Oryctolagus cuniculus: one gene and its partner. The protein of the gene in region 1 interacts with the protein of each later gene in a pairwise test. Links are inferred from orthologs where the notes say so. Each region holds a gene or a part of one and is shown on either strand. Other genes may lie near its edges.

Region 1 (3,649 bases):
AGTAGGCATCAGATGACGGCTCAAACACCTGGGACCCTGTCACCCACATGTGAAATCCACTCTGAGGTCAAGAATCCTGGCTCTGGTTTGGCCCAACCCTGCCTGGGCCAGGGGGCATCTGGGGAATGAGCCATCAAAGGCAAGATTTTCTCAAATAAAAAATAAATATGTAAAGATTTATTAAGCATTTATAGAAGAGGCTTGGGTCAGCCATTTAAGAATTGAAGAATTTAGTTAACAGATACGGTATTTTACTTTTAAAATTTTGTTTAGACTATTTATTTATATTTATTTATTTATGTGACAGAGAGAGACAGAGACAGAGAGACAGAGAGAGGGCACTGTCATCCACTGTAAACTATGCTAAATGGACCCTCTACGAATTTATGCTAACTTCAATAGGACCTTCACTCCAGCTAAGCAATTAGGAACACTACAGCTCCTAGTACTATGTCAAGCATATAGTAGATGCTCAATAAAACTGAGTTTTCCCCTTTGTTGATTTCTGCAGTATATTTCCCACACAGGTGGACAGACTCTATCATATTCCTCAAGTACTTTATAGCATGCCATATCCTCCTACTGTATCCCTCTAAAAATTACTTCATCTCTCACCTTAAAAAATGGATCCGGCATTGTGACATAGCACGTAAAGCCACTGCCTGCAGTGCCAGCATCCCATATGGATGTCAGTTTGAGTCCCAGCTCCCTGCTAATGGCCTGAGAAAAGCAGCAGAAGAAGGCCCAAGTACTTGGGCCCTTGCACCCATGTGGGAGAACTGGATGAAGCTCCTGGCTCCTGACTTCAATCTAGTCCAGCCCTGGCTACTGTGGCCACTTGAGGAGTGAACCAATGGATGGAAGATCTCTCTCTCCCTTTCTCTCTCTCTTTCCTTCTCTCTCTTTCTCTTTCTCTCTGCCTTTCAAATAAATAAAATAAACCTTAAAAAATCTCATTCTCCTCTGCAATTTAAAATATCTATTTTATGTCCCTTTTATACTCCCCCAAAATTCACAATCTTCTTAATTTTCACATCAAAATAAACTACTAATCCTTTGTTTTACTGAAGAACTTCATCCACATTACTTCAAGGCAATTACCCTGCTGAAATGCATGTTTACATTTCTGGATCTCCCAAAAACTTATGCTCCTATGAAAGAGACACCACATATTAATGTTATTAATCCTTCTTAAAATATTTATTTATTTATTTATTTATTTGAAAGACAGAGCTAAAGAGAGGCATAGGCAGAGAGAGAGAGTCCTGGCTGCTCCACTTCTGATCCAGTGTCCTTTTAATGAGCCTGGGAAAGTAGCTGAAGATGGTACAAGTACTTGGGCCCCAAGACACTTGTATGGGAGACCCTGATGGAATTCCCAGCTCCTGGCTTCAGCCTGGCCTAGCCCCAGCTGTTGAGGACATTTGAGGAGCAAACAATTGGATCTCTGGACGCTCTCCCCTCCCTCCCTCTCTCTCTAACTCTACCTTTCAAATAGATAATTTTAAAAAAAAGAATAGACATTGTGATCAATGGAATAGAAATAAGAGTCCACAAATAAACCTCCACATTTATGATGAATTGGTTTTTGATATATGTATCAAGATCACTCAATTTGGAAAGAATAGTCTTCTCAATAAATGATATTGGGACAACTGGATAACCACATGTAAATGAAGCTATATCCCTATCTCACATTGTACTCTCTTATTTTAAAAAGATTTATTTATTTATTTGAAAGACAGAGTTACAGAGAGGCAGAGGCAGAGGCAGAGAGAGGTCTTCCATCCACTGGTTCACTCCGCAAATGGCCTCAACGATTTTGTGAATACACTAAAAGCACTGAATTAAACATTGTAAATGGGTGAATTCTATGGTATATAAATCATATCTTAATAAAAATCATAAAAAGTAAAAAAGGGGGCTATACTAGATGACTTTAGTGCCTCTTTCATTTCCAGGATTACATAATTACATTAAGCAAATTCATCACTGCTTTTTGTCAACTGAAAATGCACACCTAACTATAACAAAATGAGGAAACCTACAATGCAAACAGAGGCAAAGTACAACTTTGAACATTGTGTGATAACAGGAGATATTTTAAAGCATCATCAAGGGGCCGGCAATGTGGCACGGCAGGCAAAGCCACCCACCACGTGTGATACTGACATCACACACGAGTGTCAATTTATGTCCCAGCAGCTCCACTTCCAATCCAGCTCCTCAATAATGGCCTGGGAAAAACATCAGAAGATGGCCCAAATGTTTGGGTAATTGCCACCCACATGGGAGACCTGGATGAAGCTCCTTGGCTCCTGGATTCAGCCAGGCCCAGCACTGGTTGTTGTGACCATCTAGGGAATGAACCAGTAGGTGGAAGATCCCTCTGTCTCTTCCTCTTTCTCTCTGTAACTATGACTTTCAAAATAAATAAATAAACTTTATTTTTAAAAAAATTATCAAGGGGCCAGCGCTGTGACATAGTGGGTAAAGCCACCGCCTACAGTGCTGGCAACCCTTTTGGGTGCCAGTTCAAGTGCTGGCTGGTCCACTTCCAATCCAGCTCTCTGCTATGGTCTGGGAAGGCAGTGAAAGATGGCCCAAGTCCTTGGGCCCCTACACCCACGTGGGAGACCTGGGTGAAGCTCCTGACTCCTGGCTTTGGATCGGCCCAGCTCCGGCCATTGCAGCCAATTAGGGAGTAAACCAGAGGACGGAAGACCTCTCTCTCTCTCTCTCTCTCTCTCTCTCTGCCTCTCCTTTTCTCTCTGTGTAGCTCTGACTTTCAAATAAATAAATAAATCTTTAAAATAAAAAAAATAGTAAATGAAAAACAACAGCAAATGAAAAGACTCTTCTCAAGTAAATATTTGACTGAATATTTGACAGACTGAATGTAAGAGACAGTCACGGAGACAGGTGTTGCAAGAAAAGGCTGCTGCCACAAATAAATGACAGATGTTACATGCAGTGGTTGAAAATATATATTAGTCATTTACCCCCATTCACTCCCATACAGATCCAGTCACCATTAGTCATGTCTCCTTGAGACATTAGACAAGATCCAAAGATCAAATATAGCATCCTATAAATGGCCAGTGACATTTGATTTTCTTCTAATAGATTACCTCTCATTATTCTTGCATTTACATCTATAACTTGCCCCCGTAGTAAGGCTTGTGTGCCTATGATACCTACTGACTCTGCTTGGTGAGAATAGACTTTGAAGAGGTCCTTCTCCACAGCCACCTTCTGAATGATCACGTGTGCCTCAGTGTAACTCCTCTCCACTAATCTGACATATAAGTGCTCCAGACCCTGGGAAATAAAAATGCAATACAATGTGGGGATGAGAACAGCCACAGATGTTACTAATAATTGCCACAGCTAAAAATCAAAGGTAACTTACAACAATGGCAGCTTCAAAAAATTCATCAGAACGCACAGCTTTTCCAATATCTATCCAGCCTCTTCCTGTTTTAATATTCATCTAGAAGAGAAAAGTTAGAAAAATAATTTTTTAAAGTTCACATCTCCCCAGACTGGTTGGGGGATATTGGAGAAAATGCTCCTCTATCAATATTCAGTCACAAAACCTACAGAAAACAAAAAGGAACAGTCAGCATTTAGGAGAGTTTTGTGTTCT
Region 2 (3,749 bases), on another chromosome or scaffold:
TCACCTAAGTGGGAGACCTGGACTGAGTTCCTATCTCTCAGTTTCTGCCCAGTTCAGACCCAATCATTGCAGGCATTAGGGGAGTGAAAGAGAAGACAGGAACTCTGTCTATCTGCCTCTCATATAATTAAAAATTATGCGCATTGTAAAATTCTCAGGAAGTAGGGTGAAAGGGCAAGCGCTGTGGTACAGTGGGTTAAAGCCCCAGCCTGCAGTGCTGGCATCCCATATGGGTGCAGGTTCGAGTCCCGGCTGCTCCACTCCCAATCCAGCTCTCTGCTGTGGCCTGGGAAAGCCGTAAAAGATGGCCCAAGTCCTTGGGCCCCTGCACCCACGTGGGAGACCTGGAAGAAGCTCCTGGCTCCTGGCTTCGGATTGGTGCAGCTCTGGCCGTTGCGGTCATTTGGAGAGTGAACCAGTGGATTGAAAACCTCTCTCTCTCTGGCTCTACCTCTCTCTGTAACTCTTTCAAATAAATAAAATAAATCTTTAAAAGAAGAAGAAGAAGAAGTCAGGTGGAGAGGTTTAAAGTCCTCCATGTTGAAAATTGTTCCTACACCCAAACTTTTGAAAACTAGGAATAAGAATAGGGAGTGGGCATGTGACAGCAGCTGACACGGCTCAGGTGTCCCCACTTCCACTCAAAGACCTTGCTGGGACACCGACTCCCATACTGCTGTGTCAGGGTCAAGTCCCAGCTTCCTGCTGATGCATACCCCCGGACAAACAGGTAATGGCTCAAGTTGCTGGGTCCCTGCTACCCATGCAGGAGATTCAGGTTGAGTCTCTGGTTCCTGGCTTTGGCTTGGCAAAGTCCTGGCTGTCTGGGGCATTTGGGGGAGTGACCCAGAAGATGGGCGCTATGTCTCTCAGACTTTCAAACAAATTAAATAATTTTTTTAAAAAGTACATGTGTATTTGTCACCCAATCTCCTTAGCCAAGCAGCTAAATCATGTCCAAATTCATAAATCGTCATTGAAGCCAAAATATTAGTGGTAATCGTAGCACTGAGTCTCCCCCCACCACACACAAATTGGTCTGGTCCAGCTCCAAGACATGCCGCACGGCTTCCTATAAAGAAAAGCACCGCATGGAACAAGAATGTGTTTAGATGTACACTGCAGATTCACGCCATGCCTCTGTCACCTTGGATTTATCTGTGTGTGTGTGCGCGCGCACGTGACTTCCTAACCAGCTTGGATAAATGAACATTCCCAAGCATTTAATAAAACAAAAACTTTGCTCCTACTAACAGCCACACCTGCCACCTTCCCAAACACGAAACTATTACGAAACCAGAATGCGCCCAAGTTGTCCTGAGGGTTGCACTCGCGCCCGATCGCTGCCTCTGAGGACGGGCGAGTTTCTCCGCACGCCCCAAACAGTGCACGCAGGTGCACGGCCACCGCGGAGCAGCGCCAGACAGGAAGCCCGCAACGAGATTCCAGTCCACCCCGACCCCTAACAACAGAGCTGGCCGCCCGATCCGGAAATCTGGGCATGCCACACGAAACACACCCAAACACCCCAGCACACCCAAACATCCTGTCATCACAACTCCCGCGGGGACTCCCCCGCCGGGGCGTGCCGGGGTCTCCACGTCCGAAGCGTCAGGCCCCACTGGAGGCGAGCCACGGTGCCCGCCCTCGAGGGGCTCCCGGACACGGCCCCAAAGATCCAGGGGCCTGCGAGGTTCCAAGATGGAATGAGAAGCCCCGGCAAGGCCAAGTTCATTCTGCGAGGGGCAGGCCAGCGGGCCGGGGGCCGGAGGGCGAAGGGGAGCGTCCGCGGGTGTGAGCGAGCCGGCGGGGGAGCAGCATCCTCCATCACGCCCACCCGCCCCGGGAGCCCGCGCCGCCCCCGGCCCGGCCCTCGCCCCCGCCGGCGCCCCGCGACGGCCCCGGCTGCTCCGGCAGGGGCCTCCGGGGCGCAAGGTGCGGCGGGGGAGTCGCTGAAGCCGCACTCCACGCTCAGAAGGCGGAGCGCTCCAGGGGCGCCCCTCGCCCGGCGCGGGCCGGAGGGGAGCGCCTCAGGCCCCACCCAGCCCGCCGGGGGCGACGACACCACGGCCCCCGGTCGCCACCACCGAACGCGGACACTCACTTTCTCGTGGAAGATGGACTCCATGTTTATTTGTCTGGAGCCAACGGCCCCCCGCGCCGAACAAGCCCCCTCCAGCTCCGCCCCCTCGGCCCCACCCCTCAGCCCACCCCGCCCCGCCCCTGCCCACGTGCATTACGCGGACCAATCACCCCCGAGAATGTGAGTCACGTGGCGCAAAAAAGCAAGTGGACGCCCAGGCGGTAGACGCGGGGACACGTGATCTCGGTAGTGCGTCCTCCTACCCAGCCGTGGGGCGGGTGGGGTGCTACAGCGCCGCCTGCCGTCTGGAGGATCTCCTGGGTTTCCCACCCATTGCTATGGATTGTTAGGTTTCCAGAGGTGTGATAAGGGCGGCTCGCGGCCGTCCCATGTTGTTTTCCACTGTACTTTCCACCTTCAGCTTATGAAACCTGCATATAATTGTTAACTATTACTTGCTGTTCCCCTATCGAAGTAGTTGTCATGAAGGCAATACTGTATTCCCCCAATGCCTAACTTGTGTGGAAATTGTTTTGATAGGGTTTACTTTGGGCTAGACACTAAGTGCTTGGCATTAACGAATACAGTGACCTCTGATGTAGCCGTTATTACACCTGGTATACTCACGAGGAAACTGAGGCACAGATTAGCTAAGAGCAGCAGCGTCCATGGTCGGATCCTTAGTTGCCTTACCAGCATCCAGGATCAGGGAGCTTATCACTAGTGTAGGTGCCCCAGCCCTCAAGAGGCACCGGAGGGGGAAGTGGGAAGGGGGAGGATGGGGGGGCCTGATGAAGCTTAAGGGAAAGTATGGGTGCAGATGCCGCACCTAGAAACAGGTCGTGGTGCACTTCTCCTGAGATTGTATTTTTTGTGAAAGGCAAAGTTAGAGAGATCCTCCAACTGCCGGTTCACTCCCGAAATAGCTTCAACAGCCAGGGCTGGGCCAAACCAAAGCCAGGAGCCCAAGGACTCATCCTTTGCTGCTTTCCCAGGAGCATTAGCGCGGAGCCAGATGGGAAATGGAGCAGCCTGGACTCGAACCGGTGCCTACATGGGATGCGGCTCACCCGCTGTGCCACAACCCCAGCCCCATGGTGCTGAGGTGGGCTTTCGGAAAGGCCACTCAGGCTGCAGGCCAGCAGCTGTCACTGAGGGACTCTGAATAAGGCTGAGGTGGTTTGGACTTGGGGAGTGGCTTGAAGGTGCAGAGACCGCTGTGAGAGATGCTCAGGGAATCGGGAGGCCTGGACAAGACTGGGGAATGAGGGAGACAGAGGGGGTCGCGCCAACTTCCAGGTTTCTCCTGTCTTGGCAGCCACCATGGCTGAGATCAGAACTGGAAGAGGAGAGATACATTTTGGAAATGCTGCACTTGGAATATCTAAGAGACTCAGGTGCTTTTGTTGAGTATTGGTTACATAATCAGGTCTGGAGCGCCGAGACTGTTTTACGTGTAGAGCAGGGATTTGTTGAAAACAGAAGAGGTGAATAAAACGCAGAGAAAAGGAAGAGACTGAGGGTTCAGGGTTGAGCCCTGGGGCTAGACAAGCAGAAGCCGAGAAGCATCCGGAAGTCCTGGGGAGGGCATGTTCAGGGAGCAGTCAGTATCAGTTGCTGCCACCAAGTCAAGCAACATGGAGAAGAACCCCCCATGCTGTTGCTA

What was found.
Region 2: the proteins of TEX11 (region 1) and ATXN3 interact in binary tests that used the Homo sapiens proteins (3 or more experiments, as listed by UniProt). The link is inferred for Oryctolagus cuniculus from reciprocal best matches to the Homo sapiens genes TEX11 and ATXN3.

What each region holds. Positions count from the first base shown.
Region 1 is NC_091453.1:50,675,945-50,679,593, forward strand, and holds part of TEX11 (testis-expressed protein 11), read right to left. Parts: intron 3,494-3,649; coding exon 3,413-3,493; intron 3,322-3,412; coding exon 3,202-3,321; intron 1-3,201. UniProt on the Homo sapiens protein: Regulator of crossing-over during meiosis. Involved in initiation and/or maintenance of chromosome synapsis and formation of crossovers.
Region 2 is NC_091451.1:37,353,571-37,357,319, forward strand, and holds the start of ATXN3 (ataxin-3), read right to left. Parts: upstream 2,211-3,749; 5' UTR 2,129-2,210; coding exon 2,105-2,128; intron 1-2,104. UniProt on the Homo sapiens protein: Deubiquitinating enzyme involved in protein homeostasis maintenance, transcription, cytoskeleton regulation, myogenesis and degradation of misfolded chaperone substrates.